Lytechinus pictus: one gene and its partner. The protein of the gene in region 1 interacts with the protein of each later gene in a pairwise test. Links are inferred from orthologs where the notes say so. Each region holds a gene or a part of one and is shown in the gene's direction. Other genes may lie near its edges. The genes, in order: BTB/POZ domain-containing protein KCTD9-like and protein N-terminal glutamine amidohydrolase-like.

Region 1 (16,924 bases):
AGGAAACGATGGTCAACCTCAGGTATTGGAAACTTTATATTAAATCATCGGGTATAAAAGTTAATATCAAACATGTCAACACTACCATAAGTCCTGAAATAAAAATAATTTAATTGACTTACCGAACCGAGCTTTTCATGCCTATTAAAAATCAAATCAATGTCCCGCTATGAAGCCATATCGTTGCGTTGCAGGCAACCTACATGATTACTTATTTACAATAGATATCATTACAGAAGTTTTAAACTTCCAACTTTTTGACGAGATTGAAAACATAATACATGTAATACCTTACCATGTCCGCCTGATAGCGTATGTCGACATAGCGATATAAGACGTCTTGCCGGGTCGATTAAAAAAGTTTGTCGGCCGATGTCAACTTGGCAATATAACGTATCACGCCGCGGCGCGCCGTGTCGACATATATTTTTTTGAAGACAAGAATACGTATCTCGCCTAGTCGCAATGATAAGGTCATTTAGTCGACATGGGAAGATAAAATATCTCTCCATCTCGTCAAACAGAGCTTTTGTACAATTAATCGGAAAGAATGCTATTCCTATGCTTTTCATCCTTTGAGGTTTTTCACAGCAATCAAGATCGAAACAGTTTGGTGGTGAACCCCTTCAGACCGGCGTTCGTCGCCCGATTCGTCCGTATCGAGCCTCTATCATGGCACCATCACGTCTCATTGAGGTTTGAGCTGTTTGGTGCAGGTCCTATTCCAGGTGGAGTATTGATTAATAAAAGGATCCCGGGTAACTGATAGTACTCACAATGTCTTCAGCCCACATTTCAAGCATGGGCCAATAGTAACATTATTTTATCAGTAATTAAATGATGATATTTGTTTTTCTAGTCGATAAGCTTGCTAACGAATATTTTATCGTTCGGCAAAATAAAACGGCAATATTAGACTAGCAATTGCAAAAAAAAAAAAAACCCACGATACCAGACATTCTATCAGAAAAGGCAAAAATAAAAAAAGAAACAACCCAAATCCCGATACATTTCGATAATATCGACCATAACAGAAATACACATCTTACCAATCTCCTATCCTGGGCTTGTTTCATATATAAAGTTTGTCAGTATGGTAACTGCCACGGAAACCTTGAATTTGATTGGCTGCTGAACCCTGTAACCATCGCAGTTCCAATAAATATGAAACGCTCCCCTGATTCTCGTTACTAATCACTCTCAAATTGATAATCATTAAATCGTCACCACCCTCTTGTTCAACAGTTGTACCGAATACCCTGGGCCTGGAGGATTATCGAATACCGGATTCCGAACTTTACGCATCCAGTTGCTACCACGATCGCAACTGCGCGAAATACGCGCGTCTCAACTTCGCTGGCGATGAGCGACAAGGGGAAACCTCGAGGTACACAGTGACGTCATCGGAGAAACTCCCAGGCGCGTGGATACCACGATTTGACGATCACAACCAATGGGTAGGAGTAGATCTGGTAGATAAATACCGAGTGGTTGGTGTCATCACGCAAGGAAGGCAAGACGCGGACCAATGGGTGACGTCATTTGCTGTATCGCATAGCATGGATGGCAAGATGTGGTCGTTCATACAGGATTGTGGTCATGAAGAGAAGGTTAGGTCAATAATGCCAAGTCTGTGAATCAGTTCAAAACCCTACTCAAAACCTACCTGTTTATTAGATGATTCACAGTTGTGGGTCGGTCAATTGGAGGTGCACACCAGTTTTGATTTTTGATTATTAGTATAGTTGTATTAGCTGTGTCATTTTCCCCTGCCACATTGTTTTTTCTTTATTTCTTAAACCCAAGTACAAACCATAAACAGAACACAGTGCGCTTAGAAACACAAGTAGTAAGCGCCTTATAAATGTTATGTATTATTATTATTATTATTATTATAATGGGTGGTAGTCTGATTCTAGTCTGGTACTGATGTAGTGGGTGTAGCGGTATTCGGGAAACTGGCGAAATCTACCTTACTATTACCCTGTCGCTCTATCACTCAGTCGGTTGACCGTAACGAAATAATTATCAGGGGTCCGTTTCGCAAAACTTGTTATAATAAGAAATTTGCGAAAAGCTACTGAAATCCTTCTATCTCATTAGTTGATGGTAAATTTGGTATGGAAATTGTGCATTTGTTATTATGTCAAGTCTTTAAGAAACAGGACCTAGATGATCTTATTTAGCATTTTTAATGATATAATTGCTAATCGGAGCAAACGCAATATCAAAGTGAAGAGTCTATCATTCTGAAGACATCTAAATGATATACATCCAAGTTATTCAAAGTCAAGGCATTAGATGTCTTACTTATTGACCTCAAACCCTCTCTCATGGTCTTGGTGATTTTTTGCTATTTATTTTCTTATTTGTGCTGTTAATGTGCCTTATCGAAAAGTGGCCTTTCCCTAATCAAAGTTAAAATTGAAGGCCCGTGTGACTTCCTAAATGTTTTATTATAAATTGGAAATTATGAGGGAATAGGCGATCGGGTAGTGCCCGCTGGAAGATGGTTTACAAATTTGGAATTAAGGCAAGCGATTATTAAGCAGAATTACTTATTCCATTCTCAGATCTATCAAGGGAATCACGACCGTGCAACACCGATCATCAACGTCTTTGAGACTCCCTTGACGGCTCGTGCAGTCAGGGTTCATCCAAAGAGATGGACCAGGCATATTGCTCTCAGACTAGAACTCCTCGGTAATGGACCAGTCGCAGGTATGGACTTCATGTTGTTGCTGAAAAGATCTATGGTGATGATGATAGTGGTGGTGATGGTGATGATGATAATTATGATATCGGTGATAATGATGGTGGTGATGATGATAATGATATTGATGATGGTGGTGATGATGATGATGATGATGTTGATGATATTGAAAAAGATAGTGGTAGTGGTGACAAGAGAGGTGGTATAATGGTCATGAGGATCGGTGATGATGATGATGGTGATGATGATGATGGTGATGATGATGATGATGATGATGATAATGATAATAATGATGATGATGGTGATAATGATGATGATAATGATAATGACGATGATGATGTTGACGGTGACGGTGATGCTCACAAACGGTGTTCAAAATTAGGGTAAACATGGTAATGCTGAGGATAGTTGTGATATCCTGAATATATATGATGATGATGACGACGGCGATGATGACAATGTTGTTTGAATGATGATGGGAATGTTGAGGTGATTATGATGACGAAGTCTCGTCATCAAGCCATTCCCCTCCCTCCCCTCCCGTTTTATGCATATAGACCTATAATCCTCGGGAATGAAATGATCAGTGAAACGGTCATTCTATTCTGCATGGATGCTCCTATTTGGGTATACTGTTTGCTTTACAGAAGTTGGGATTGACGAGAACAAGTTGGGCCTGGAAAGTGGTCGTATACCCAACTCGAGTCTTGCCGCGTCCTCGTGCATCAGCGACGACGCGTACTGTTCCGAATCGGCGAGACTCAACCACGAGGTCGGGGGATGGGTGCCCCGCATCAATGATCTCGCTCAATGGATCCAGGTTGATCTCATGGCTGTGTATCGTTTGACGGGAGTTATAACTCAGGGGCGGAGTGATGCCGCTCACTGGGTGACCCGGTATACTGTCTGGACCAGCCAAGAGAGTAGAGGGAATTGGATCCCAGTGACTGAATCGACATGCGGAGAAGCAAAAGAGGTCATTATATCAAATTTCACGTGATATATTTAATCGATGAAAAAAATATATTGAATATTGAGAAAACGTAATATTAATAGAATGTTTTGCTTATTGCGTTTAATAGTTCATAATTAAAAAATAAAAAGGGTAAAAATAGTGTGAGGGCGGAAACAACCCTCGTTGAAGCTAAATGGCTTCAGTGACCATGTGACAAGAAAGACCAATTTCAAGAAAGTATAGATTATTGTCTCTTGTATATTTATTGATCAATGTAGAATTATATATTGAAATTTACATTTATGTAATTCAAAGGAGAATTCATATCAGTCATTTACCATAATAAGTGGCGCATCAAGGAGGCAAGTGGCGCGAGTTTAATAATATAATGAACGACCGAAAATTCAGAGCATCAAAGAATGGAAGGGGAGAGCGATTTCATGTGCTATCACTTGCCTCGGGATTGTATTTTTTCGTCAGTACTACTGCTACAGACACAAGAGGATGCATTATCAAGGATGGTACTGACACCATCGATGCCATAGAAATGTAAATGTTCCTCTAAAGTTCCTCTTCAGAAGTTCCCTGTCAATTTTGCCACATATAAATGCGACATCTTGTGCCTGTACGTGGTGCAAGTACTGACGAAAAATTGATAATTTTCTAACATACGCCTTTGGTCGTGATAATGATGATTAATGACTTAAATATGCACATTGTTTTGAATTTCAGATTAAAATATTCACTGGTAACTGCGACCAGTTTTCTCACTTCACCAACCGATTCAATCCACCCATCCTGGCCCGTTACGTCCTGCTCGCTCCTGTAGCGTGGCATGACCACATTGGTCTCAGATTCGAACTTCTCGGCGAAGGCCCGTTCATGTTACCCGATGTTGCTGTCCATTGACTTACTTTACGACTGGTATACGAACCGAGTTTGGGACAAATCGCATTTTGTTTATTGTATAAAACTGTGAATGAAAAATATCTTTTTATCAGAGGTTGCATATGAATATAACATTTTTGGGTGATACCAAGCTTGTATTTTGGAATAAAGGCTAAATTGGTTTAAATCGTAGCTATATTGTTACAATTTACTTCGCCTTTTCTTAAGTCGTAAAGATGATTTCATAGTCACAGATTTGAATATAAGCAATCGTTCAATAAAGATGTTTCATGCATCAATATTCGAATTTTTTTACTATTTTTTTTCCAAAATCGGATCGCACGCTAATCATGAGCTGTGTGCAAGATTTATTGAACTGGATACTGCTTTCAAATACATTTTAAAGGGCAAAATAATAAACATGCTTTACCTGTCGCTACAATCTCCGTCGAAGACTTTTCCATTTCATTAAATTAAGTTACTTATGAATGCTACTGCCCATATCGTGTCCCATATCGTGTACCCTTTTGCCATAAAATTCAAATTTGAATTGATTTCAGGTCGTGGTTTTTATGTGTTCTTTTGAGTGTCTGAGACGGAAATCTCGAAAATTGATGATTTTGGTTAAGAAGAAGAAGAAGAGGAGGGAGAAGAAGAAGAATCCCTAATCAGGTTCAAATTCTTTGTAATGGTATGGGGTGAGGTATTATAGGCCTACTGATTTGATTATATAGCCTTTTCATAAAATCCTTTGCAAAGATATATCTGTATTTTGAGAATCGCTACATAATTTGGTCAGTGATTACGGAAACTGAGGTAACTATGTTTCCAAAAGGTTTACTGAAAGTGTGTCCTCCTTTGAAATACAGTGCGTCCCCCAAAAAAGGAAACTCGTTCTCAATTATAGATTTCACAATTATTAAATATGTTTTTACTATAAATTTGATACTCATGGCAAGAGTGGAATCTCATCTCTCATTTGAAACCAACAGCTTAGCAATTCGTTCACGCATGGCAGGTTACAAACAATAGATATTGAGGTGTATCAGAAACAATTTGCTCAGAAACTTACGTGTGAATCTGATTCCACTCTCATTTCAAGGATAAGTGAGAGAAGCTTAACAAGGAATACAAAAGAAATGCTAATGAGCCAATCGTTGAATATACACGGTCGTCGTACCACGAACCAATCTTGTCCAATTTTTCTGCGCAACCTGGTTTTGACATTACAGTCAGACTGCAGGTCCCAAGAAAGTGGCTTCTTTCATCCAAGTGATATTCATGACTTGAGATGTTTTGCATATTTAATGAGCTTGATGCGGACCAAAACACCTCTTTTCATTCGGTCATTGCTGCTCTAATTGTGCATCGAATTTCATGAATTTGGTACCATTGTAAATAAAAAGAATAATTCTTTCAGGTCATGTGTTTGGATTTATTCAAAAATTTTGTAATATAGGTTAAAATTTTAATCTAAAATATGCTACAAAATAAAAATTTTCACCTGACAAAAGCTGCTATTTTCACACTTTACTTTTGTTTGAGCCCAAATGATTTTTATATCATGATAAAGCTGAATATGTATGCTTTAAAATGATATAGGTTTCAAAATAAGAATTGGTTTAATCGGGTCAAGATCACACTTTTCATTTGCCAGGTACATAAAGCAGCTTGAAAACAAGAATACTGCTCTCTGATTGGTCAAAGAGACCACACAATGGCAAATTCCAACGGTTCCAGTGCCTGGGTTCGTGGGAAGGTCACACTTCCCATGTGGTAATCTCCTCAAATACCCCGCGCCTGTTGTTCTGTGAACCTTATCCAGCCAATCAGAACTCTGGATTTCTTGCAAGTGCAAAATTTCAGAAATCTCGTCTTGTATCTTGGTGGGAAAAGTGTGATCTTGACCCGATTAAAAGGTGCCGCATATCAAGATTGGCATTGTGAGAAAGTACAGAAGTTCAGCTTTATGGTGATATAGATATCATTGAGGCTCAAAATAAAAAGTTTTGCACAATATGCAAAAGAAAACAGAGGAAGAAAATTCAGTTTTATGGCACATTTTCAGGCCAGAAATTTACTTATTTAACAAAATATTGTATACAACATAAATGACCAATATGAAAGAGTAACTTTTACTCTATCCGATGATGTAATAATATTTCATTTAACTTGAGATTAAATAAGGTAAATTCTTAGAGAAAGAAAATCTCACGAATCACGAGATTTTACAAGGAGGAGGATTCAGCCACGAGATGATTTGGATGAATCTGGCCTTTTTGCTCATTAGCATAGGGACCTGCGGTCTGACTGATTAAAATTTCGAACTCTGCTTGCTCATTAATGCGTGAAGTGTTTGTCTTAGATCAGTTATCAAAATAAAGAGGAATAATTGAATGATATGATTATCCAAATGAAAAATCGAAATTTATTTGCCTTTGAATTAAAAAGACATGATAATCCTGGTTTCCTTTTTTTCTGGGGCGCACTGTATATTGTACCTGCTTTTTGTCTTATTTTCTACGCCTTATTGCTTGTATAAAAGTGTTGATGAAAATTTAATTGTATTTTGTACTATACTGCTAATGAATCAGATACATGTATGTTAAAAAAAAAAGCATTAAGAAATGTTTGTTTTGAACTGACTTGAACAAACATATTAGCTTATAATGGATTCGAAATTGTATATGTTTCTGCATGCATGAATGAGGGTTTTGATATCTGGATTGCTTTTTTTTAATATATATATTTATATATAGGTGTTTGATGTAATATGTTAAACGCATATCATGTGGGGGAAAAAACTGTCATGCGTACAGTCATGTATATTATGTATATTAAAAGTTGTTAAGAATGTACTGTAAGAATCAAAATTTATATTTCATTTTGCACGGAACAATAATAACAAGAATCTTAAATGTTAAATGTATACCCACGTTGGTTTGATACCGTATCTTGTCCATCTATTTATCCAACCAAATGCTTTCAGCTGTTTGTCAACAAAGCGATAATGCAAAGTAAATCATTGTATAGGCTCTACAAAATACAAAATAATCAAAACAAATCACAATATATTTCAGCTGTGCAACACTAATAAAAATAATGATTGGGTTGATTATAAACATTTATCATAGAGGGGAGAAATCAAAAGAATTTGGAATGAATATAATTGCCTAATGATTGGATCGGTGGTAAGTCACTAGTCTACCCTTCCAGGAAGTGGTTTACAGTACACTGTGTGACAGTTCTACAAATAAAAAGTTGATAGAGGTAGAAGTGAAATAGGCGAGAAAGTAGAGTGTCTTTCAAAATCAAGTTTAGCCCTTACATAAAAGTACATACTGTAAACCAAATGAGTTGAGAATAGAGGAGGCTGGCTTAAGTCGTTGATATGAGATGAGATAAGGCTGGCCTGAGTCGGCGAGTTAAGTAGAGCAGGAGCATGCTAATTATAGTCAGGACTCAGGATAGACAACAGAAAGAGCTATAGACAAAGATAAAAGATGCTAGTGTTTGGAGAAAACAGTAGTACTGTATGCCATCCAATGCTAACTCGAATTAAAGTGATTTCCGTCAAAATGAAGATCCGAGCAAATAAACTAAACTGAAGCCGGAACTGAAGCGGGCAAGTCATCTCTACTCCCACGTAAACGGTATTTCAAGATTATAGAGATGAATATGACATATAAGTGTGAGTGTCGAAATGCAATCAAGCCTGTATGGCCAAAATGAATAACTCCGTCACCTTATACTTGATGGATTAACTATTATTAGAAGAGGAGGGAAACAAATATCGTTTATCATGTACCTTATTATAATTTTTAAATATTTTGTTAACTTGAATCAAATCACGTCGAAAAAATATATTTCCATATTATTATGAGGAAGTGTTACAGATTAGTGCAGCTTAACCCTATAAATATTGCAAAAGCATTGTAATAATAGATTAACATGCAGCGCTTATAGAAACATTTGTATTACTAAGCACTAGGCCTATAAATATGTTGAATAATGTTATTTATCCAACTAACACTACACTGTTAAAAAAACCCGTGATTTTACAGAAAAAAAGAAGATTTTGCAGAAAGCAATTACAAAATCATTCTGTAAATTCATAAAACAGGAATTTTTCTGCAATTTAACAGAACAGGTCTGTTTAAAAAGGGAAAAAGGGTGTTTTATTTAAGGAAATTTGTAAGATTCCATACACCAAATACCAATTTTCTGTAAGATTACGCAATCTGGTAAGATTACAGGTGTTATTGAGACTCTGCTGCAGGAACTTCTTTTATTTTAAGGATAAATTTTCTAACAGTGTATATAGTAATATTATCAGAAGTGTGAGTGAAATATGAAAATTTGGGGACAGCCTACTGTTAATTTTCATACAGTTATATCTTCAATATGTTCTTTGTTCACTCTTTATATAAATAGAATAAAAGAATGATTTCGAAAATGATTATAAATGGATATTGCTTTGTCCCGCTATTCAACTATATGTATATACAAGCAGACTTTTTATTCAATCCTTTTCTTGGAAAATTTATTTCTTGGAAAATTTATTTCTTGGAGATTTATTGCTTGGAGATACCATACTGTCCGTCGCGTAAAATCAGCTGATTGCCGTCGTCATTCCTGCAAAGATGGCCTCAAATACACGCCCTAGAGTCACAATATTTCGAAATGGAAGGACTTCTGATGGGAAGGTATGTAAAATGAATAAATAGTGTTTTGTTTTAGAGGAAAACGTGTTGATGAGAGCGCTTATCACAGGAGATTGTGAGCTTGTAGTTGTAGATGTACTAGTCCCGATTTTTATCTCGGTCCCATCTGCACAAAGTTGTGTCACGTTTTTAGTTGAATTATTTGTAATCATATTCATACATACTTTCGGATGTCTTTGTTTTATTTTATTTCTTTTCGGTTTCAGTGGAATATATTTGTCTTCAATAGTATCAATAATTTAGTCTAAAGTCTCTTCTGAGATTGGAGTGACGGAAAATAAATGGAATATAAAAATAAGAGAATGGTTTCATGTGTTTTTGAGACACGCCCTTCATGATTCATCACAACATATTTAAAGTCATGACATTTTTTTTTATTTTCATGGCATTGTGCAATCCAATATAAAGGGTGCAGGAAGAATGTTATTAGAAATAAATTTCCATGTCCAATCCTGCAGGTGGGGATTGCAAGTCCAATTACTATGATTGTTCAAATAATGAAGAAAATAGAGAAAAAAAAGGAATATAATACGAATAAAATGAGCTACACGTATATAGAGTAACTGCGTCGGTGCGCGGCAGGGGGTTGGTGTGCGGCATTTTAAGCAGACTCGGCAATATACCACTGAAATCTCCAACACACTAGAGATGTACCCCACACATTCACTAGGTCACATTCACACTACAAATTATCCGGCGACATGGGCAAAATCTCAAATAAAAAGTGACATTTTCTTACCTAGATCACCATATCTTGCGGAAAAAATATCACACTCGGTACTTCTTAACATCGTAGTTAAGGAACAAGGGGTCCAAAAAAGTGGATTTTTCACGGTTTTCCTGATGTTTGTGAATTTTTAAAACGTCCTCACGTGAAAATTGCATTTTTGCGAGTCGATGTCGGCCGCCACTTTTTCCCGGAAGTCAATGTTATAAAAAAGCGTGTACGCTTGCTATTTTCACATGCTTTTCAGTGGAACTGTGCATTTAGCAGCGTTTGCGCTCCGTTTTGAGGTGAACTGCAGCTGCCTCACGGAGCTTGCGGGATTGAAGCGCCATATGAATTGTACATCGTATAGTACCGCGCACTGGAGACAGGGCGGCGGCTGACTGGGGAATGCTATCGTGGTCAGTAGCGGTGGTCAATCTTGACCACCGCGATTTGCTATTGATTAGATTAGATTTGACAGCATTTATTCCATTCATCATAAAAACAAAAACAAAGCACATACAAAGTTTACATCAATTACATGGGAAGATTGCAGATAAGACAATAATAATAAAATATTGGCCAATTTGCACGATTAAAAAGGAAGTACCATCAGTCATTTTTATATGATATGTATGGATTAAAATGGTTTGTCCAAAATAGTTAAGGATGGGAAAAACATTAAAGGAAAATGAAACACTTGAAACCAGCTGAATCCATATCACAGAGAAAAATCAAAGAAACATATTGTTGAAAGTTTGAGGAAGATTGAATGAATAATAAGAAAGTTATGAGCATTTGAATATTGAGATCACTAATGCCATCTAGATCCTCCAATTGGCAATGCGACCAAGAGCTGTGATGTCACGTACACGTACAACTCCCTCATTATTTAAGTACTTATTTCACTTATATTCTCACTTTTATAGAGTCTATCACAAGGTGAGGTGTTCTCTTTATGAGATGACAAGTACAGAGGTTTCAGAACATTATATCATTGATGAATCGTTTGTCATATGATTAGAATGAGCAAAAAGAGATGTTTTGGGGTATATTTTCAGCGTCCAAAAGGGGAGAGTTGTTCATCTGTGACATCATAGATCTTGGTCGCATTGCCAATGGGAGGATCTCCATAGCATTAGTGATCTCGACATTCAAATGCTCATAACTCTTCTATTGCTAGTCCTATTTTACTCAAACTTTTGTTGTTCTTATTCTTTGATTTTTCTGCTTTCACAAAAGCTAACTTGCTCCAAGAGTTTCATTCTCCTTTAAAGGGATGGTTCTATCTTAATAAATAGAGTAAAATTCACAGAGCAAAATACTGAAAATTTGATCAAAATCGGATAACAAATAACAAAGTCATTAAATTTTAAAGATTTGCATTATTCCGGTGAAACAGTTCTCGGCATGTCTTATGAATATTCATTAGATGGGCTGATGATGTCATATCCCCACTTGTCATTTTGTATTTCATTATATGAAATAAGGTTTATTCAACATTTTTCTACCAAGAACTAAAACAATTGGATTGACAACTGATTAAGTGCATTAGTTATTTATTGCCGCAACTTATTTATCATAATGGAGACATCATTTACCCATGTATGAAAAAATGAAACATTTATGATATCATGTAATAACATAAGAAAAAGGAAAGTGGGGATGTGACATCATCAGCCCACTTAATGAATATTCATGACGATGTGCATATAACTGTTTTCATAAAATATTGATAAACTTTAAAATTCAATAATTTTGTTATCCGATTTTGATGAAATGTTCAGCATTTTGCTCTGTGAATTTTACTCTATTTATTTAGATATAAATATTTTCAGCCCGGACCATCCCTTTAAGCGGCCGCACACCTACAGCAGTTAATGTATAAGAGAGAGCTGTGCATGAAGGAATGGAAGTTAGGATGAAAAGGGTGAATATAAATGAGGGATGTTCTATTAGAAAAAAGGGGATGATTCATGAATAAGAGTGGAAAGAAATATAAGTACAAAATCAATCCCTACAACTACAAAGAGTAAAATGTGGGGTCTTGGGTAGTCTAGAGGACTCCGTGATGAATTTTGTCTTTTCATTATGGAACCTAGACACAGGCCCTATAGACCTGCTTGTCGAAGGTGGTAATTAATGATGGATTTCCTTTGAAGGTCAAGTCCACTCCAGAAAATTGTTATTATTTTTTTTTTTACAAAACTGATATGTTAAATATTGTGTGTTAGAAAATTGCATGAACTCAACACAGGCTTGTTGGTTACAGTCTGCAAACTTGTGTGGGAATTAGGCATAGTGAAACAAAGAATCTAGGGAGTGCCACATTATGAGAGCATGCTTAATCTTTGTTTTCTCTATCATGTTTTTTCTGTCATTAGTAAGAAGCTCAATTGTTTTGTCATTTGTGTGTAGATGATGAAAAATATTCAAGGGAAAATTTTCATGAATCTGCCCATCATCTTTTCCTTTACTGCCAACTTATATAAGAGATAATCTCCCGAATAAGTTTAAAGGGATGGTCCGGGCTGAAAATATTTATATCTAAATAAATAGCGTAAAATTCACGGAGCAAAATACTGGAAATTTCATCAAAATCGGATAACAAATTACAAAGTTATTGAAATTTAAAGTTTATCAATATTTTGTTATATGCACATCGTCATGAATATTCATTAGGTGGGCTGATGATGTCACATCCCCACTTCCTCTTTCTTATGCTATTACATGAAATCATAAATGTTTCATTTTTTCATACATGTGTAATTGATGTGTCTCCATTATGATGAAATAAGTTGTGGCAATAAATAACTAATGCACTTACCGGTACTCAGTTTTCAATCCAATTGACTTAGTTCTTGGTCAGAAAATTTCAAATAAACTCAATTTCATGTAATGAAATACAAAAGTACAAGTGGGGATATGACATCATCAGCCCACCTAATAAATATTCATAAAGACATTCCTCAAACTGTTTCACTGGAATAATGCTTATCTTTAAACTTCAATAACTTTGTTATTTGTTACCCGATTTTGATCAAATTTTCAGCATTTTGCTCCAGATGTGAATTTTACTCTATTTCTTGAGATAGAAATATCTTCAGCCTGGACCATCCCTTAATAGAGTCTTCAATGTTGACTGTTGGCCTCTATTGGTAATGGTTTTTCAAAGAATACTCTAGATTTTCACTGATTTTTGTTGATAGCTTTCACCATGATGAAGTCTTAGTCAGTAATATTGATTGTTTCAGGAGACTAGCTTGTGACCATGTAGTCATTCTTGTTTATGTGATCTCCATCATGCATTCCACGTTCTTGTTTTAAAGTGGTCATTATTGGGTACGTTTCAACGATTCAACGGAAATCATCCATGGGCGGAAATCCCAGGTGGGGACAGAGCGGATGCTTCCCCCCTACCCAAAAAAGTAGGGGGGACACAATATCAAATGTCCCCTACTGTTTTTGGTCTCTTATGATGGAAAGAAATGCATCATTCAAAATCGAAATAAAACATGTATTTTGGACGAGATGACCTTACTTTTTGGGTGATAACCTTTTTTTTCTTTTTTTTTTTGCTTGTCAAATTTTGCAGCCCCTGGTCCCCCTACCTTTGGGGAGAGATTTCCGCCCATGGTCAAGCAATGAATTAATAATTTCTTCAATTATCAGACTTACAATATTCTTGCACAATTTTATGTGTGTTCAGAAAAGAAATGCATTCTGAAAAGAGCTTTTCACTGCCTTGAAAAAGTGCCAAAAAATAAAGTTTCTTGTACAAGAATTGATTTGATGAATTTAATACTGTAAAGCAGCCTACAAACGTAATCCTCAAAAGAAAGTTCTTGATAAAAGTGAGTGGGTATTTTCACCTTTTGAAGTGCATAGAAATTTTATATCATGATATGGTGTGTACTATACAATAATTATTTATTTATTAATTATTATTATGATTATCAATATTATCAACATTCATATTCCAGGTCATAGCATGCCCAGATACGATGGAAAGACTGATACTAGTCGCTAGTAACTGCCTTGGCTTAACAGCTACACATGTATTCACAGCAAAGGGAGGTAGAATAGAAGATGCCTCTTTAATCAGGTATGAAACCTATAGCATGAAATATTCAATGTTAATGAGTGTGATCGTTTGGAATATTACATGAGCTTGCAAATTTGAAAAAGTCTATTCGACGACGTGAAGTGCAGTTGAATAGACTGCTTCAGTTTGCACTGAAAGTAATATTTGAATGGTCGCATGAATGACAAAACATAGTCAACGTAGACCAAATAACCAAAATAGAGGAAAAGAAGGAATAGGACTAGATCTACTTAGATCTGCTTGGGCCTTTCTTTAGCCTTTATTTTACTAAATTTTATATATGCGCGTAGTGTATGCAGCGCAGTGATGCAGGTATGCGCATGCACAAGTTACTATTGCTGATAACTCTGAATTTCATGTGATACACATTCATCCAATCAGCTGTCACGGATCTCTATGTGTGTTGTATAATACCGATTATCTGTATTTCAAATCAAGTGTGCATTTAGTCTGTTGCATGTAAAGTGTGGACTTACTGTACTGTCAGCGTAAAAAATGAAATAAAAATACATATATTTAGAAAATTATGATCTTTTGCCATGCTGCAGCTCTCTGGGAAACAGATTTTGTATATGGATGAAGGTCACAAGAGGGATTAGTTCTTTTTTTTTCAAAAATCAAATTAGATGAAATTTGCATTTTTGCCAGGAATGGTGTGGAAGTTGGTGAAGTCCACAACTGCAATGAATTTAAAAAAAAAACATAGCTTAATAGATGAAAAAGGTAGAAAAGAGAGCTAAAAAAAGGGTATGGAAAAGGTTGGATATATCTTTTAATTTTTACAATTGAATTTTTTGTTCCACTTTTACAACAAATATATGTTTACAAAGAATCAAGATAAGCATTTAATATAATGTACAGTACAGTATGTAATAAAAGCGGGGAGTCAAAATAAAAAGCTGAGCTTGTACAGCCCCCATCTCCTTGTTTTATGTCATCAAACAGACCCTGATGGTGCCCCTGCTCTTGGCCAGCCAATCTAGTTTCAGTTGATACTTTTTTTTCTCTCTCTGCAGGGATGATGAAATATTGTACATATCAGAGAATGAACCTTTTATAGGTAAGATATTTCTCTTTATAAAATCACTTTTGCCTCATATGTATTATTAAAATGCTATCACTAAATCGGAATTGAAACCTAATATCTTATCACTATCAAATGAGAAATCTCATGTAATTAAATTCTCATAGCCAGCCAATGGAAACATAATTTTCTATTTGCTGACATTTCAGATTACTGAATTCATGTGCAATATAAACTGTAACTGTAAGCAATACAAATATTCCACTGTCATTGTACAGACTTGAGATACCTGTTGTGAATGAAATTGGTCTCTGCATTTTGACCGCATTATGGAGGCCTGTTGGAAGATGGAAAAAGTGTTACGAAAGTATTGCAATAAATTTTGAATTTGTAAACAATTACTAAAAATTTGTAGGCTTTTCTTGCAAATGATTGCTTGTCTGCATGATATGACGTGGTAATAATAAATCCTTTAATCAATTTTCAATTAATATTCACAATTGATTGCAAATAAGCACACAACCTCCCTTTAATATCAATGGTCTGTTGATGCAGGCAAGGATAATAATGAGCAAATTTTGTTTCTTTGACAGATCCAAAATTTAGTAGATCAGGGCAGAGCACAGTTATGATGTGCAGTCATGAAAAAGCAAATGGAGTTCTTCAGAACGACTGGATTACATTAAATGTTGGTGGAAGACACTTTATGACAAACAGGTGAGAGGAAATGATCACCTTTTGAAGTATTTCATGCCACCACAGGTGGCGCTGGATGCAGTTGTTTTTGAGGTTGTACATGTACATCTGTCCAGTTTTCGTCCTTCCAATATAAACAAAAGAACCATTTTGCAGATCAACTTTCACACTCAAGGCATGTATGCATTTAAGAATGACAATGATTTGATTATTTTGGGGGCATCAAATTCAAAGATCAAAAGTCACTGAGGTCATGATATTTCATTCTGGTGATAACTTTTAAAAGAGGCACGTATTGTATCAACTTCCAAACTTGGCTCATGCATAGGGGTAACAATGGTCTGATAGAGTTCTTGGGTTATTTAGTGAATTATATTGGTAATTTCTGGTTCTTTGTTAAAACAATATTGCATAGAATATTGTAATCAGCTGATAATCTGTTTTATTTTTCACTTAATGTCCACTTTGACTCTCATTCACTGATTTTAATCCCAATTTTCTTTTACAGGAGAACACTGGTTGGGAGAGATTCAGAAAGTATGCTTGCTAGAATGTTTGCTGATGATGGTAAGTAGAAATGGTTAGATGACTGAAAAAACTTATCCATTTAAAATTATGACAATATGATTGAAAAATATATGAATAAATTATTAAGTTATATATTGTAAACAATATGATTTCTGCTTGGAGATGAGATGTAAATGAAATTAAAAAATAAAAGTAATGAAGACCTAAATGAATTCAATTTTTAATTCAATTTTTATCCAACTCTCTTGTATCCCTCCTCCGTTAAGGTCGGAGATCGCTAGTATCAGTAGAAGAATGTAGACACTTCCTAAGGGTTGTTAGAGCTAGGAAAGTTGCTGAGGAGGTTTTGGCGGGTTGTGTGAAGGTTGTGGATGAAGTATAAAATAAGTGTGTGGAGCTGGGGTTTACTGGCATTGCTGAGGTGCACAGGGGGGAGAAAGAGAATACACTCTAGAAAATGCTGAGGGTCTGTCTCAAAGAAACCTACAAATTGTCTGGTATTGTCATTTTCCTTTATGGGGTTGATGAGGTCACGGCGCACAGATGCAGTGGCTGGACATGATGAAACAAAGTGTTCTACAT
Region 2 (16,209 bases), on another chromosome or scaffold:
ATTTCATCAAAATCGGATAACAAATAACGAAGTTATTGAATTTTTAAGTTTATCAATATTTTGTGAAAACAGTCATATGCATATCGTCATGAATATTTATCAGGTGGGCTGATGATGTCACATCCCCATTTTCCTTTTTGTAATGTAATACATAAAATCATAAATGTTTCATTATTTCATTCATGTGTAAATGATGTGTCTCCAATATGATGAAATAAGTTGCGGCAATAAATAACAAGTGCACTTTATTAGTTGTCAATCCAATTGTTTTAGTTCTTGGTAGAAAAAAAATTGAATAAACCTAATTTTATATAATAAAATACAAAAGAACAAGAGGGGATATAACATCATCAGCATGATCAGCCCACCTAATGCATATTCATAAAGACATGCCTAGAACTGTTTCACCGGAATAATGCAAATCTTTAAATTCAATAACTTCGTTATTTGTCATCCGATCTTGATAAAATTTTCAGCATTTTGCTTTGTAAATTTTACTCTATTTATTGAGATATAAATATCTCCAGCATGGATCATCCCTTTAACACATAGTGTTGGGGCAACAGTACATCCTTTATAAAGCATTTTAGTCTCGCATACCCTCGCAAATTCGACCGTAAACACGTAGCTTTGCTAGCGAAATGAAATATATAGGCTACCCCCTTTCCAGTATTTTATTGTTTTTGACACCCTTGTTACTTTACGTACGTAACGTGCCCAATCTTGAAAAAGAGACTTTTTTACGCAATCATTTTTGGTCGCGCCTGGTATTCATCCACTCGTCAATGGAAGTGGTCCACCTGGGTACCCCCCTCGATGATTCATAGATAATTGGACTGCTATGAGAGGCATGGTTGTTTCAAAAGGCTCGAAGGACCGCAACGCGACTAGATTCTTCCAATAATGTGTTATTTTGTTAATACTACTCAATAAAATATTGGGGATAGAACAAGCAGAAGTCAAGAATCGTCATATCCGTTACGCGCACTCGGGCAATAAGCATGATAAGCCCGTAAATGCGCGAGTTGTCTTGAAATTTTCATTTAAATCCATATATTACTCTTTATGATCAAATCGCGCTAATTTCCATGGTATCCGCAATCACCGCACTAAAGCAACATTTTGCACGCAATGAAATGGGGATCTCAGCCAAATTTAACTATGCCCGTTGTTATGGGGCGGGTCCAGGGGCAATGGGCAGAAATCTTGTGAACTATGCCCGTTGCCCTGGGTAACCAACTTAGTTTATTGTTCTGGAGGCATGGTCAAATACATGACCTCACTTTTGAACAATGAGAGGGATGGATTATTCGATATTCTTAAAGAGAGGTTTATAAAAATATATATCATATTCAATTCCATTACTATTTCAATCACAATAGGATCGTACTTGCTGGTATCGACGAGGGTGACAGAAGTTCCGGGTTCGTCTTCAACTTCCAGTCATATTATCGGCTCACTCAGGAAGAGGTACAGAACTTTTTTTTTTCAATTATCCCATTATTGCATCCCTTGAAAGTCAAGTCTACCTCCACAAACAAGTTGATTTAAATAGAATAGATATAGAGAAAAAAATTGAATAAATGTAATTGTGACATCATGATTTTTTTTTCATAGATGAGTTCCTTCGATTCAATCAAAATGTCCAAAAGTATCATCATTGTAATGATAGTGGTGGGATCACAAAAAGCACAAGATAATGGCTCATTCAAAACGGCCCCTGAAAGAAAGAAAGAAAGAAAGAGAGAGAGAAATAGAAAGAAAGAAAAAAGAAAGAAAAGAGAAAGAAAGAATCAACATGAAACAGAAAGGGAAGTATCGTTTTGTCAGGCAATTGTTATACCATAGAGCTATAGCTCTATGGTTATACTATCCTTAAATTAAGGACTCCGATATGATCAGTTTATAAAGATAAATTGCAATCATGATGTTAAAAAATCAACCAAGCTCTTGATTATTTTGAATGACATGAAATGAAATGAAAATGTCTGCAACTGCATGTTACATAATGCAAAATAAATACTGCCATTTCAGTGTTTGCTCATTCGCATACCGCTTGGTGTAAACTGTTTTGTAAAAATTATAATATATATTATTTTTTTACTTGTCATTTTTTCAGCAAACCAATACCCTTTCTTTATAAATCATTCCCAAGCCCCTGCCAATTTTGATGATCTTTTCAGTATCATTTTTTCATTTTTTATTCAAATCATGTGGTTCTGATAGACATGAATCGGTGATAACGGCAGTTAATAATTATCATGATTATAATGCAATGTACGCGGGCGTTTTCTTATCGTGCTTATTGTATATGCGTGAAATTTCATGAGAATCCACTAAAAAGCATAATGGAAGAAATATATATATATATATACAACCCATAGGCCTATAACTATTTGTTATAATTCGTCTTTCGTCAACATTTGTCTTTTTAGGTATAGGCCTACGATGGTCTTCGTCAGTTTAAATTGTTAAAGGGATGGTCCGGGCTGGAAATATTTTTATCTCAATGATTAGAGTAAATTTCACAGAGCAAAATGCTGAAAATTTGATCAAAATCGGATCACAAATAGCAAAGTTATTGAATTTTAAAGATTTGCATTATTCCGGTGAAACAGTTCTAGGCATGTCTTTATGAATATTCATCAGGTGGGCTGATGATGTCATATCCCCACTTGTTCTTTTGTATTTTATCATACGAAATTAGGTTTATTCAAAAAATTTCTACCAAGAACTAAAACAAATGGATTGGCAACTGATTAAGTGCATTAATTATTTATTGCTGCAACTTATTTCACCATAATAGAGAAACATCTTTTAAATAATTATGCATGAAAAAAAGAAACATTTATGATTTCATGTAATGACATAACAAAAAAGGAAAAAGGGAATGTGACATCATCAGCCCACTTAATGAATATTCATGATGATTTGTATACAACTGTTTTCACAAAATATTGAGAAACTTCAAAATTCAATAACTTCGTTATTTGTTATCCAATTTTGATGAAATTTTCAACATTTTGCTTTGTGAATTTTACTCTAATTTATTTAGATATGAATATTTTCAGCCCGGACCATCCCTTTAAGTATTTTAATGTTTTCATTATTTCTAACATCCAGTGTGACTTTACCAGTATGAATATGGTAACACACACACCCGCACACACACACACACCCTCACACACGCATATATATATATACATATATATATATACATATATATATATTCGTAGATAGTACGTTTTTTATTTGGTGACTGACAACGTCGATAACAATATAATGATACTTAGTCAAACCGACCCCTACCACACCCTCTCTCTATTTCTCTTTCTCTCTCCCTAAACACACACTTACAGGCGAAGGATGTCAGCGATCATTATCCTGTTTATTTCGATCTCTACTGATACCACTTTATACGTTTGGACAGATTCATTGATAATGGATAACTCTAATAATTCAACTTTTTATCAGCTATAAACTTAATCGTAAACACAATTAATGGAGTGAATATAATAATCGCTAGATTTATGCAAGATTATGTTAATAATTAAATAAGGAGGAGGAAGAGGATGAAGAAGAGGGTGAGGAAAACGATGGTTGGTGATAATGATGATAAAATACAGTCTTGTAGTAATGATAGCAATGATGATATTCATAAAATAATGATAGCAAGAAGAATTATATCAGAAATTTTAAATCATCGATCATCACCATTATAGTGATTATCATAATTTTGTCGTTCCTTCCTCATGATTGTGGATAAATATGTTAGTAAATTCAAATGAAATAAAAACAAATGAATTGAAATCAGAGACCAACTATTTGCTTACATGTACCACTCATCATAATACCTTTAGTAAGGCATACGACAATATTTCGTGCTATTATACCAAGCCGTGTAAAATAATGGCTACAGTGAATGACTATCCCCAAGAGGTTCATAATAATGAATATTCACCTAAAGTATGTTTAAATATTAATTATACGTGTAATCGATAATTTAAAAAGTGATTAAATTCCAATCTGTGCAACATAAACTGTGTGTGTGTGAGTTTTGTAATGGGTAATGTTCAAGGGTTAACGCAAGAACATAGTATGTTGACACAATAATTTTATATGCAACCCATAAGACGAAAATTTCAATTAAATAGAAGATATTCAATTATTGGGAAAGTAAAACATGTGTATATACCCATTTATATTGGCCAATTAAGAACCTAAGGTTCCCCATTTCCAATTGGAGTTTAATGGTGGCAATAGGGCCAATTTTCATTTGGTTTAATAGGCATGATAGGAATAATTTGTTGGGTCAATTATTGGCAATTAGCAATGAGTTATAAAGACACTTGGTTCAATTGACAATTGGTTTTACTATAGTGACCATGCAATCGGTATTGGTCTCATAGAAGAAATTCCAGTGGCGTAACAGGCGGGGGCGGCTGGCGGATTTCACCGGGAAAATTTAAAAAACGGGAAAAAGAGAAAAGGGAGAAAGAAAGAAAGAAAGAAAGAAAGAAAGAAAGAAAGAAAGAAAGAAAGAAAGAAAGAAAGAAAGAAAGAAAGAAGGATGGAAGGAAGGAAGGAAGGAAGGAAAGAAAGAAAGAAAGAAAGAAAGAAAGAAAGAAAGGAAGGAAGGAAAAAAGAAAGAAGAAAGAAAGGGTAGGGAAAGAAAAGGAGGAAAAAGAGGAAAGGGGGAAAGGGAAAGGGAAAACGTGAAAAGAAAAATAAGAAAAAAAAAACATTAAAAAAACCGTAAGGAAAGCGGGAAAAGGAAGGAAAGAAGAATTTGAAAGAAAGAACAAATCATTCCGAAATATACTGATACATTAGCATGATTAGTAAGAAAGGGAAATTAATTTAAAGATGATGGCAAACAAAAGCGGGAAAGAAAGAATGGAATGAGCCAAAAGCTAAATTGGAAAATGAAGGAAAGGGACACGAAAAAGGCAGAACTTAATAACACTACCGGGACGGCGTGTAATTTTGTGTATGAAATCTATTACAAGCTTGCTAAATTTTATGCAATAACGGTCGCAATCAGGACAAAAAGTCCTTTGCCAAAGGATAGACATACCCCCTTCTTATACCAGGTATATAGCCTTACGTTGGCAAGAGTTACGGTTAACCAGGGGCTCTGCCCAAGACCCCATGCAGTAGGGGCTCTCCATCTGTAACCTTCAAAGAATCAAAGTGCTCTATATCGGGCCTCCTGTATGGATCGACCCTTCCTGCATTAAAGGAAAAGTCCACCCCAACAAAAAGTTTATTTGAATAAGAAGAGAACAATCTAACAAGCATAACATTGAAAATTTCATCAAAATCGGTTGTAAAATAAGAAAGTTATAACATTATAAATTTTCGCTTAATTTCTCAAAACAGTTATATGCACACCCTGGTCGGTATGCAAATGAGGAGACTGATGACGTCATCCACTCACTATTTCTTTTGTATTTTTATCATATAAAATATTCTAATTTTCTCCTCATTGGCAAGTGAAACAACGATTAATTCTTCCCTGAACCTGTGGAATTAGCATTGTTTAATACTATATGGTTCAGTCAAGTTGGTCCTTATTGTCAAATATGTAAAAAAATTGAATATTGTATAATTCAAACAATAAAAAAAAAAAAGAAATAGTGAGTGAAGGACATCATCGACTGTCTCATTTGGATGTCACTGAATTGTGCATATTACTGTTTTATGAAAAATAGGCGAAACTTTATAATGTCATAACTTTCTTATTTTACATTCGATTTTGATGAAATTTTCAGCGTTTTTCTAGTTGGATTTTTCTCTATTTATTAAAATCAACATTTTTCTGGGGTGGACTTGACCTTTAAGCTTTACGTTGAATCACTGGCGTAGGGGTGGGGGCTTGGTTCCACACCCAAAGGGAAATAAAAGAAAATAAAGGAGGCGACGAAATTAAATGAATGGAAAACAATAAAATGTGTTATTTACTGAATATAATGTAAACATCTATCACTTGATTAGAATTTCATTTCAAAAGGCCATTTTTTTCTGACTCGCTTCGCTCGCTAGTGACTTTTTACAAATTTCTCCACATTTGCTATGTTGTGCCCCTTCAACATATTTAGTTTATTACGCAACTGCATTGAATAAATGTGTTGTGTAAAACCTTTATCATATACCCGTGATTTGATTTTAAAAAAATAGCCGCCATCTGTGAGGCTTAAAATAGCTTTAATATCAAGAGGTTCCAGGGGCAGAGCCTCGGGACCCCACCTGCATAGCACTGGCGTACAGATGGAAGTGTTTGGGCCATGTTCTCTAAAAGTTCTACAACCAAGAACAAAAAAGAAAAGGAGGAAAGAAAATTAAAGGAAAATTGTAAGATATTTTCTGAATATCATGTCAAAATCTATCTAAAGGTTAGATTCTCATGAAAAGGTGATTTTTTTCTTGCTCGCTTCTCTCGCTCGCGAATTACATTAAGCAGGTTTTTTATACTCATCACGCTACTGCTGCATAGACTTTCGACCTAATGCCCGCGCACAATCATTAAAAAAATTCCTGTTCACAGTAGCGTACTGACCGAAAAAAAGAAAGAAAAAAGGAAAGAAAAGGGATGGGTGAAATTTAATATATATTTTTTTAATATTATGTCAAAATCTATCACAAAATTTGAGTTTTGCAATAAAAATGTCAACATTTTTGCTCGCTCGCAATTTTTTGTTCAATAAATTATGCCCGATGCGCCATATGTGGCCCCCTCAAAAATTTTGCCTCATTACACCACTGCCTGTTCGTACCATGACATTACCGGGAAATTGTTGGCCCTTGCCCCCCCCCCCCGGCCAACGACCCCTGTTACGCCCCTGTGAAATTCATGTCATATAAGTACTGATCAAGTGAGTGCAATGATGATGCTTGAGCAGGTGCAGGAGACATCATAGATACTGATATTTACTATACCCCTACATTTATACTCTCTATTTATAATCATTGACTTTCGAAGGTGGACACCCAGGGGTTAAGTAATGACAACTACATAAATATCAATACAAATGCTAACAAAGTAGATAAAAAATAAAGATAATGACAATTTTAGGCAAATTGAAAAATATTGTGATTAGAAGTTCCTTTAAGAGCTCAATTAATTCAATCGTAGAACATTTTGAAGTTGTTTTTTTTTTTGCTTGTCAACCAGATTTCCAGGGGGTACTGCCTATGGTAGATAATGAGCACCCCCTGACAACTCAAGACCATGTGGTATACTTTATATTCAAATGAGAAGAAATACTGAAAAAAGTCAGATAAAAAGAGTTGAAAATATCATTTTTATATACTTATTATTTTGTAAAGCTGTGTTGTGGCGGATATTTCTGTGGAGAGCTATGCAAATGAATTTGAATGATGTACCCAGTGGCGTACCGTGGGTCACGGCGTGGGGGGGGGGGGGCACCAGCAAAAAAATTTGAGACACTTAGTGAGCGCGCTCAATTGCCATGTGTACTGACCTTAAATATATATATTTTAAGGACTGTGCCATTAAACAGTTATGTATTTCACTGATCAAATAATGCGAGCGCGAGCTGAAAATTTTTGATATTAATTCAGACCTAAGAATGGACATTATAAGCAAATTTTCGTAATCATGATACGTACCTGTCTCGCTAAACAAACATTGCGAGTGCGAAGCGCGAGGTGAATTTTCTTATATATTGACCCCAAACAGGGACATTTTAAGGACCTCTTTTTAGGAATCCATTAAGAGTATACATTATCTCACCATAATCATATAATGCGAGTGCCAAGCGCTTGCTGATTTTGTCACGGTTAGAATTACACCTAAACACATGAAACACTTTTTGTAGTCATTGTAATCATTATCAACATGTGCATCTCACTAATCAAATATTGCGAGCGCGAAGCGCTCGCAATATTTGATATATAGATCAGAAAAGGAGATATTTTAAGGACTGATTTTAGGAATTTATGAAGAGCTACATATCTTACCAATCCACTAATGCGAACGTAAGCACGGATAGAAAATGTTTTATATGCAGACCTTAAAATGGCCGGGCAATCACTTTAAGCAGTCATGAAAAAGAAGCATAAAACAATAATAACTCTAAGTGCGAGAAAATATATTTGGTGTATATTGACTTGAAAACAGAATGTTTTAGTACAACAGGATCATATATCTCGTCAAACAGACAATGCGAGCACCGGGAATGATTAACATATAGGCCATGAGCAAATTATGTTTCATAAAGTTAAGAAAAAATATTTATAAAAAATATTTATGTAATATAACAAAACATATATAATATAGTATTATAATATGCAATAATTTCTTCTTTCCTATCTACTTTTCTCTTCCTTTCTCCCTCTTTTTCTCCTTTTTCTCCGTTTTTTTTTTTGCCTGCCGACGGGGGGGGGGGGGGGGGCGTGCCCCCATGCCCCCGTACGAGTTATGTCACTGGATGTACCCAGAATAAGGATTGGCTGATTATATTTCAAGTCCATACCCTATCATAAACAGTATATAGTTGGTACAAGAACCGGGTTATCAAATTAGATGCTGGGTCAACGCTCTTTTCAAAGAATGTTCAGTATTGTGCATATTCATTCAAATAAACCTTAAACCCAGGGGCACTTGCATTGACAAGTGGATACCATGCGCGACCAAAAACAGAAATGTAATTAAAATATTTACATAAATTTGACGTAGAATCGTGGGGGCTAGGGGCTTTTGCCAGCCAGCCCCCCCCCCCCCACACATACACTTTTCATTAGCCTTTTGCAGAAAAGTGAATATGCCCTAATTACAATTATTTATGCATGTTACCCCCATACACACACACCACACACACACTTTTTCAAATTCGTTCCGCAGCCCCTGCATCAAATTACCTTCTGTTCAAGATATGCATTCTATGATAATATTCACATCTTGTCTGGTAAGAAGATGTCTGCGGTTTTACTTCCTGGTTCAGTGATTATCCTCCTCCAAAACAATTAAAAATAAATCGTAAAAACTGTAAAAAGACACTTGTGTAATTTTTCGTATCTAACAATAATTTTGCCTTTTTATATATTATAAATCAACTGCGTACAGGCTGTGGTGCATTTGCACCCTTCCTGCGCTCCCGCTAAGGCAGACTGAGGAATTCTGACACTGGCAAGCAAATCGAAATTTATACCCCTTCTTCTGCTTTCAACAGCTGATTTTCCAAAATTAAATTCCACCTCCCCAAGATGTGCACCCCATACAAACAACAACAAATGCGCAGACACAACTCGTATCTCGCGGTCGCTCCGGATCCGCAAATGGGAATTCCCCATATATCCACCTCTATGGGATTCCCCTTTTTCTTCGGAGACGAGCCCAAGACGAGGGAAAAAAACTTTCATCTAATGATCTAGAATAGAATGCCGAGTATCATGAGTACGGGTGAAACTGTTCCGTTGAGTATCCTGCCTCCATTGGCTGACTGTTATTACTGTTATTGCTTTTGGTAAGTCTTGACAGAATACTTAATTAACGCTATTAAATAGGACTTCCTCGATACTGATCCTGAAGCCAGTTCTCTTCACCTCGGACTTGGGCTCGGAGCTCAGCCGGCCGCCGGCGCGCTCGGGAGCTGAGGCTAGGCAAGGTACACTCATACGAATAGTAAATACGGCCAGCATAACGCGTATACTGTTACTCCATATCACGTATGAATATGAAACCCGCAATAATTATTATTTTAGTATGGGTTACTTAGTGAAGTGGAGTGGAGCCTGCATGCACGAACTTCGCTCGAGGTAGACCTTGGCTATAGCCAAGGTCTACCTCAAGCGAAGTTCGTGCAGAGCCAAGGTCTACCTCGAGCGAAGTTCGTGCAGAGCCAAGGTCTACCTCGAGCGAAGTTCGTGCAGAGCCAAGGTCTACCTCAAGCGAAGTTCGTGCAGAGCCAAGGTCTACCTCGAGCAAAGTTCGTGCAGAGCCAAGGTCTACCTCGAGCGAAGTTCGTGCAGGCTCCACTCCACTTCACTACCGCTACACCACGCTCCACCTACCCGAACTTCGAGACTGTGAACTCTATCTGATATTCTGAGTGGCAAAGGTGGAATTTTATGGGGGGAAAATATAAAATTCATGCAACATCACCACTCATCCTACGAACGAGGTTATAATATACAACATCACAATCTTTAAAAACAATCAAAACTAATATTCTTACTTTACACCAAGTTTCATTTCTTTTCCATGCTTCTATCAGTCTCAAAATTGGTGATTTAGAGCCAACATGAAGTTCCTCACATGTATAAATATTTTGCTGCCGATTTCAAAACATCGCATGCACGCGTGAGGGTCCGAGCTCGGACCGGACCTGGTACCTCGCGCATATCGCATGCGATACGGCAGCAAATTATTTATATGTGTGAGGAACTTCATGTTGGCTCTAAATCACCAATTTTGAGACTGAAAGAAGCATGGAAAAAAAGTGAAACTTTTTGTATTTAAGTAAGAATATTAGTTTTAATTGTTTTTAAAGATTGTGATGTTGCATGAATTTTATATTTCCCCCCATAAAATCCCACCTTTGTCACTCGGAGTATCAGATCGAGTTCACGGTCTCGAAGTTTGGGTAGGTGGAGCGTAGTGTAGCGGTAGTGAAGTGAAGTGGAGCCTGCACGAACTTCGCTCGAGGTAAGCCAAGGTCTCATGTGTTGCAAAAAACTGAATCGCAAGTCAACTTTATGTCCAAAATGAATAGAAATGACAGAATGTTGGGCATTTCATTGCCAACGACATTGGCAATCAGCAATGGTATTGAAAATTTACAATAAAGACATGAAAGATGGTCTGCTTTCTGCATCAATACAACTATGCAGCTAGCCCGGTGGCACGGGCACGGTCAGACAGTGCTCTGCTCTTTTCACCAAAATTGCAGCTGACTGCAGCAGATCAATGCGGCCGGAACGGCGTAACAAAAAGTATGCAAAGCTTTGGAATGGATTTCTTTCTTCTTTTTTCTCGATAAGAAGAAAATGCTATGCTTTGGAACGACTTTCGTTGTCCTTTTTCTTATTAAGATAAAAATGCTATGCTTTGGAATGGAAATTTGAGCGTAAAATTGAGTGTCCTCTCAGCGGCACATACTCACCATGCAGTATATACTGAGTACCCCCCCTGGATTGTTCCAGTCATTGAAAACTTTGGGTGAAGGAGCGCCCTCTGAGGTTGAGTCTATTTTGTTGCTTGAAGATTTTTAGCGAGTGACCTCTAGTTTTGCAGGCTTGGTGCATTGTGATTAACTTGGCAAAAGTCTATACACCCATCTCCCTGCTTGTATCATGTCATCCCATTTTCATCTATACATGTACGAGTGTATGTAACTTCAGATGTTAGAGTCTCTCTTCATAATGTTTGTTGGCTAAGATAGGCAGTAATTTAGTGGCACATCTCTGGACTCTTTCGAGTTTATCAATGTCCATAAAAAATCTAGGATGCCAGGCACTGTTCCCATACTCCAGATGAGGTCTGACAAGTGTTTTGTAAAGGATAGGTAATGTCACTTTGCTTAAGTATGAGAAGGACCGTTCTACAATGCCAAGCATCTGATTAGCTTAACTGACTGCAAGAGATACAAGCTTGTGAAATGTCAATTCCAGATCAACAAGAATGCCATGGTCCTTTTGTTTGGTGGATGATATTGATTTGCTTAAAATTGATCACTTGTAAATTTGCATCTGAAATTTGCAATTGATTGCAAATATTTTCTTGCAGCACCACATTAGTGTGCAGTGGTCACTCTAAGCTAAGCACTATCCCAATTCTGTTTGGTATCACCATCATGCTACCACCATCACAACCACTGATGACAGTGGGTCATACACAACATAAACCAGATACAATGGAGAGGTGCCATGGCCTAGTGGTCTCAGGAGCCCGGCTATACCATGAAAGTCAGGATTTCAATTCCTGGCACAGCCTTTGACCAACGAATGTTAGGCCTTTGCTGTTTTATCTTGCTTCAAATAAATGAAAATGCTTTGAATAAATGAAAATGCTTTTATGCATTGTTGATACCAACGTGTGCACATGTTAAAAAAAACACAGACAAGATAGGTCTACATATGTAAGTTAATGCTTTTGACCTTGAATATGTCTATCTTATAAAGTATGACATCATGGTATTGGAAAGTTGAGGTTCTGGTGGTGCTGAAGCTTCCCCAAGATTTTTCTGGGGGTGCTGTGTGTGTTATTGATAAGGTCCCCCAAGTCTGTGCACACACATATCTGCACGATTTTAATGAAAGAAGATATGCAGCTACTACAAACTTTACACATGCAATACATAGAAAGATATTCATTACAAAATCTTACTCAAAATAGTGGAAAAATTAATGATTTTGGGCATTTCATGTGACGGCCTCAAAATACAGCCCTTCTCATTAAAAGTAATCCCTGAATCATGTGTAAAGTCACAATTCTTTGACTACCTGTTTACTTGTTTCAACCAGAGAACAATAATCTATTGTTCTCTGTTTGAAACAGGTACCGGTAGTCAAAGAATTGTGACTGATAGTGTAAGAGAGCTCACTTCATGAATTCAGGACTATTTTCCTGGTTAGCTATATCCACTTTCTGCATTGAAATCACCCCAACCCCCCCCCCCCCCAGAAAAAAACAAAAAGAGAGAGGAAATTAAATAAATGCATATGTTATCTTTCCAAACAGTGAGGAGAATATATGGAAGCTGTGTGAAAGTGTAAAAAAGAACTTCCCTAATGAATTGAGCAGGACGTATGCAATCTTCATCTCAAACAAAGAAAGGAAGGTGAGTAGAATTAATCATATAGAATGGGGTACTCTCAACAGTACACATTCAATTTATTAACTCATATGACACCCAAATTTTCTGGGAATGATAACTGAAATATTTTTCATCATTATGAAAGCAAAAGGAAACAAAATAGTAAACATAAGAAATATACAATATAAACAGAATGTTAGAATTTTTGGCTACCCATAATTTTAGCACAGACTTAGACCATGGTCTAAGTTAAACCTGACCTCAGAATACAGGCAATATTGTATATTTAATAGAAAAGGAGGGTATTGATAGGATGGGGGGAGGGGTGCCTGGTCAAACTTTGTCGTCTTTTCATGTATCAGAAGCCTGTGATGTGTGGATCTCTTTTGAAATGAAAAGTGATTAAACAGGATATTATCTTATCGTGATATAAATACTATTAAATACTGCTGATGATATTTGAATTCTGTGTCCATGGTCAAATAGGCTTTAGAAGATGAGATCGCAAAAGGTGTGATATTTAGATACTTTTTTAAGGCAGTGACTGTCAGTTAATCTTGAAGAAGAATTGAGAGGTTATTTCCAAACTTTGGAGATCTTGAATTGTTCTATGCGATGCCCTAAAAGGAGAGAAGAAATACCGAGATGGTTGCCTTAAATCAGTTCTGACATATGCGAAATAGCAAAACTTTATCTATGCATTTGAAGAATTAAAATTAGTTTTAATCTGGCAAGGGCCTGGTGGTCCGTCAGATCTGCAGATAATACAATTAACACTGACATCTATTTTGAATGGAGGTAATTCATTCCTGGATTGGATTACGAACACAAACTCATTGACCATTTCAAGAAGATATTGTCAGCAATTGGGGGAAAGGAGACTGTGATGATTGATGTGTTATATTTAGACATTCACAGTTTGTTTTTTGTATTTTTTCAGGTCCCTCTTTGGATGCAGAAAGCAAGTGGTCAAGGAGAACTCCCTGTAGTTTGGGTTAGTAAAGTCATGTTTGTTAATCATTTCATGAAATATTTTGGCAATTCCATATGAGGAAACATATATGACTTCATATGACAAATTTGTTATGTGAAAATGACTCAATTTTCAGGTAATTTTGTTACCAGGGTTTTGTCAATCACAATATTATGAACGTATTTAGTAAATAAATGGAACATATAAATCAGGTGATAGAAGAGGCATATTTTACTATGAAATGGGTAAAAAGGGGAAAGCCTTGTCCTGGTGCGAATGTTTGTAAGAGAATTACAATACCCAGATGTTTCAATTCTGGATTTTGTCATTAGGTAGCCATAAGTTATAGGATGATTACAATCACTTTCAAGTGAAGACATAATCAAACATTACTCAGGAATTCATGTTGTTTTCTTTTTGTTTACATAAGGGCATTCAAATGACCATTAAATGAATAGAACTAAAAGGACAGACTACAGAACGAGTTTTTAGACTTTATGATAACTTTGAAGGGATAACTCCTGAGCTTTATTTATTAGTGATTTTGTAAATAATCAAGATTATTTGTGAAAAGAAAAAAAAATCATTGTTTTATTTGTAAATACTCTAAAGTATGTTATTGGTAAATATTATTGTTGCATTTGTAAATACATATAATCTTGTTATTTGTGAATGATCTTGTTTTGTTTTAAAAAATGATCTCATTCTATTGTAGGATTACCATGTGATCCTCATTCACATGGATGCATCATGTGGAAGTCAAGTTTATGATATGGATACTGTGTTACCATTCCCTATTGACTTTGAGGAGTATGTGACTGTGGCAGTCCGTAGCAATGATGTTCTTAGGCAGGAATATTTCAGGTACCTCTTTTACATTTTAATAACCAGACTCAATAGTGTATATGCTTCAGAGAAGTGTACAGCATTAGGAAAACAAGAAATGATAATACAAAGTAATGGGACTTTATCTAGGAAGAACTGCGATTAAATGCTACTAATAAATTCAGCAGAAGTTTCAAATAATGGATTGAAATAAAAATATATTTCATTGTTTAAGATGCATCATCCATATTAAATTGACACTCTATCTATGGACTGTGATAACAGATGTGACCCTCAATGGAAAAACTTGCTCATTTGCATAAAGGTATTGGAGATTGTATTGAATCGCATGATGTGCTTTGATCCAATCAATCGGTTTTCCATAATTAATATAAAGTGTTATATTGTCTTTGATAGTGTACTACACTGTTGATTATGTTGACTTACCAGATATTGATATCACAATTCCCAATCTAGTGTTTTTTTTTTGTGGTAATATTCTATCCTTTGGCTCGTAACACAAAGTTTAGTGATTAATCGCTGAAAGCAATGGCTTATCAAGATCATTGTTGCATGCGCATCTCGTATTAGTAGGCTGACTAAGAACCAATCAGAATTGTTCTTTCAAATTAGTGATTATTTGCTAACCTTTGTGTTACGGGCCCCAGATCATCTTTACCCAATTTCTATCAAAATACATATACATGTACCTGTATTTGTTTTTTTATATAGATTCTTCAGGGTAGTTCCTGCCCAGGAATTCCTAGATATGTTTGCATCAGATCGATCACATATGAAGAAAGAGAATGGAGAATGGAGGACACCCCCTCCTTCTCATCCTTGCATCGTGGCAAAAGATGGTAAGAGCCTGTGGGGAATGGGGGGGGGGGAGGAGAGTCAATTCCATTGAAGAGTGGACAGCATCTCCGAGAATCATCCTTGAAAAAGAACCCTAAACGAGGAATCCCAGGCAGGCCGCTAGGGCACCCTAAAGCTAGAATTTGTCCAGACATCCGAAATTTGCAATCTTTACACTATAAACAGTGATTTCATTTATTATTTGGACATACCCTAAACCAGGCTGTTCAGTCTCTTGTTTTACAAGCACTTTCCACTGTGTGTATAGTATTGGGGATGTGGGTTTTAGGTCTGAGATGGGGTTTGGGATTCCATTTTGAATTTGACTTTTTATTGTACTTTTTATTGAGATGCCATGATAAGATTTTTTCAGGGATCTTGTAACTATAGATCCTGCAGCTTGTGCAAAGTACTTACCCTTTCCACGTTTTAAATTATGATTTTTTTTCTCTCTTTTTCTCATTTTAACACTGTTCTGTGCCTATCCCTGAAAAATACACCCTTTTCCATGTTTTTTAAATTCTTTTGGATGATGTCCACTCTTCAATAAAATTGACCCCACTGGGGGTAAAAGTAATTCTTTCATTTTCTTTTATCTCTTTTTGGTCTTGGTACATTTCTTTAAACCAAATAGTTAATTCTTCAAAAGAGAAATACATGGTAACAAAGTTTATTTCAAGGTAAATGAGAACAAGGAGCTTTGTTTATTTATCATTGTTGGATCTACTGAACAAAATAGATTAATTTACAGTTTAAAATGCATCTGATAATGAC

What was found.
Region 2: the proteins of BTB/POZ domain-containing protein KCTD9-like (region 1) and protein N-terminal glutamine amidohydrolase-like interact in binary tests that used the Homo sapiens proteins (3 or more experiments, as listed by UniProt). The link is inferred for Lytechinus pictus from reciprocal best matches to the Homo sapiens genes KCTD9 and NTAQ1.

Annotation. Positions count from the first base shown.
Region 1 is NC_087256.1:3,242,155-3,259,078, reverse strand, and holds the start of BTB/POZ domain-containing protein KCTD9-like, read left to right. Parts: upstream 1-9,142; 5' UTR 9,143-9,199; coding exon 9,200-9,262; intron 9,263-13,972; coding exon 13,973-14,094; intron 14,095-15,110; coding exon 15,111-15,154; intron 15,155-15,711; coding exon 15,712-15,835; intron 15,836-16,322; coding exon 16,323-16,381; intron 16,382-16,924. Other genes in the region: lactadherin-like, read left to right, coding at 1-22, 581-728, 1,246-1,610, 2,574-2,721, 3,361-3,689, 4,401-4,577. UniProt on the Homo sapiens protein: Substrate-specific adapter of a BCR (BTB-CUL3-RBX1) E3 ubiquitin-protein ligase complex, which mediates the ubiquitination of target proteins, leading to their degradation by the proteasome.
Region 2 is NC_087247.1:43,140,149-43,156,357, reverse strand, and holds the start of protein N-terminal glutamine amidohydrolase-like, read left to right. Parts: upstream 1-8,996; 5' UTR 8,997-9,402; coding exon 9,403-9,488; intron 9,489-12,703; coding exon 12,704-12,803; intron 12,804-13,719; coding exon 13,720-13,773; intron 13,774-14,467; coding exon 14,468-14,616; intron 14,617-15,309; coding exon 15,310-15,437; intron 15,438-16,209. Other genes in the region: deoxyribonuclease-1-like, read left to right, coding at 1,383-1,470, 3,360-3,407. UniProt on the Homo sapiens protein: Mediates the side-chain deamidation of N-terminal glutamine residues to glutamate, an important step in N-end rule pathway of protein degradation.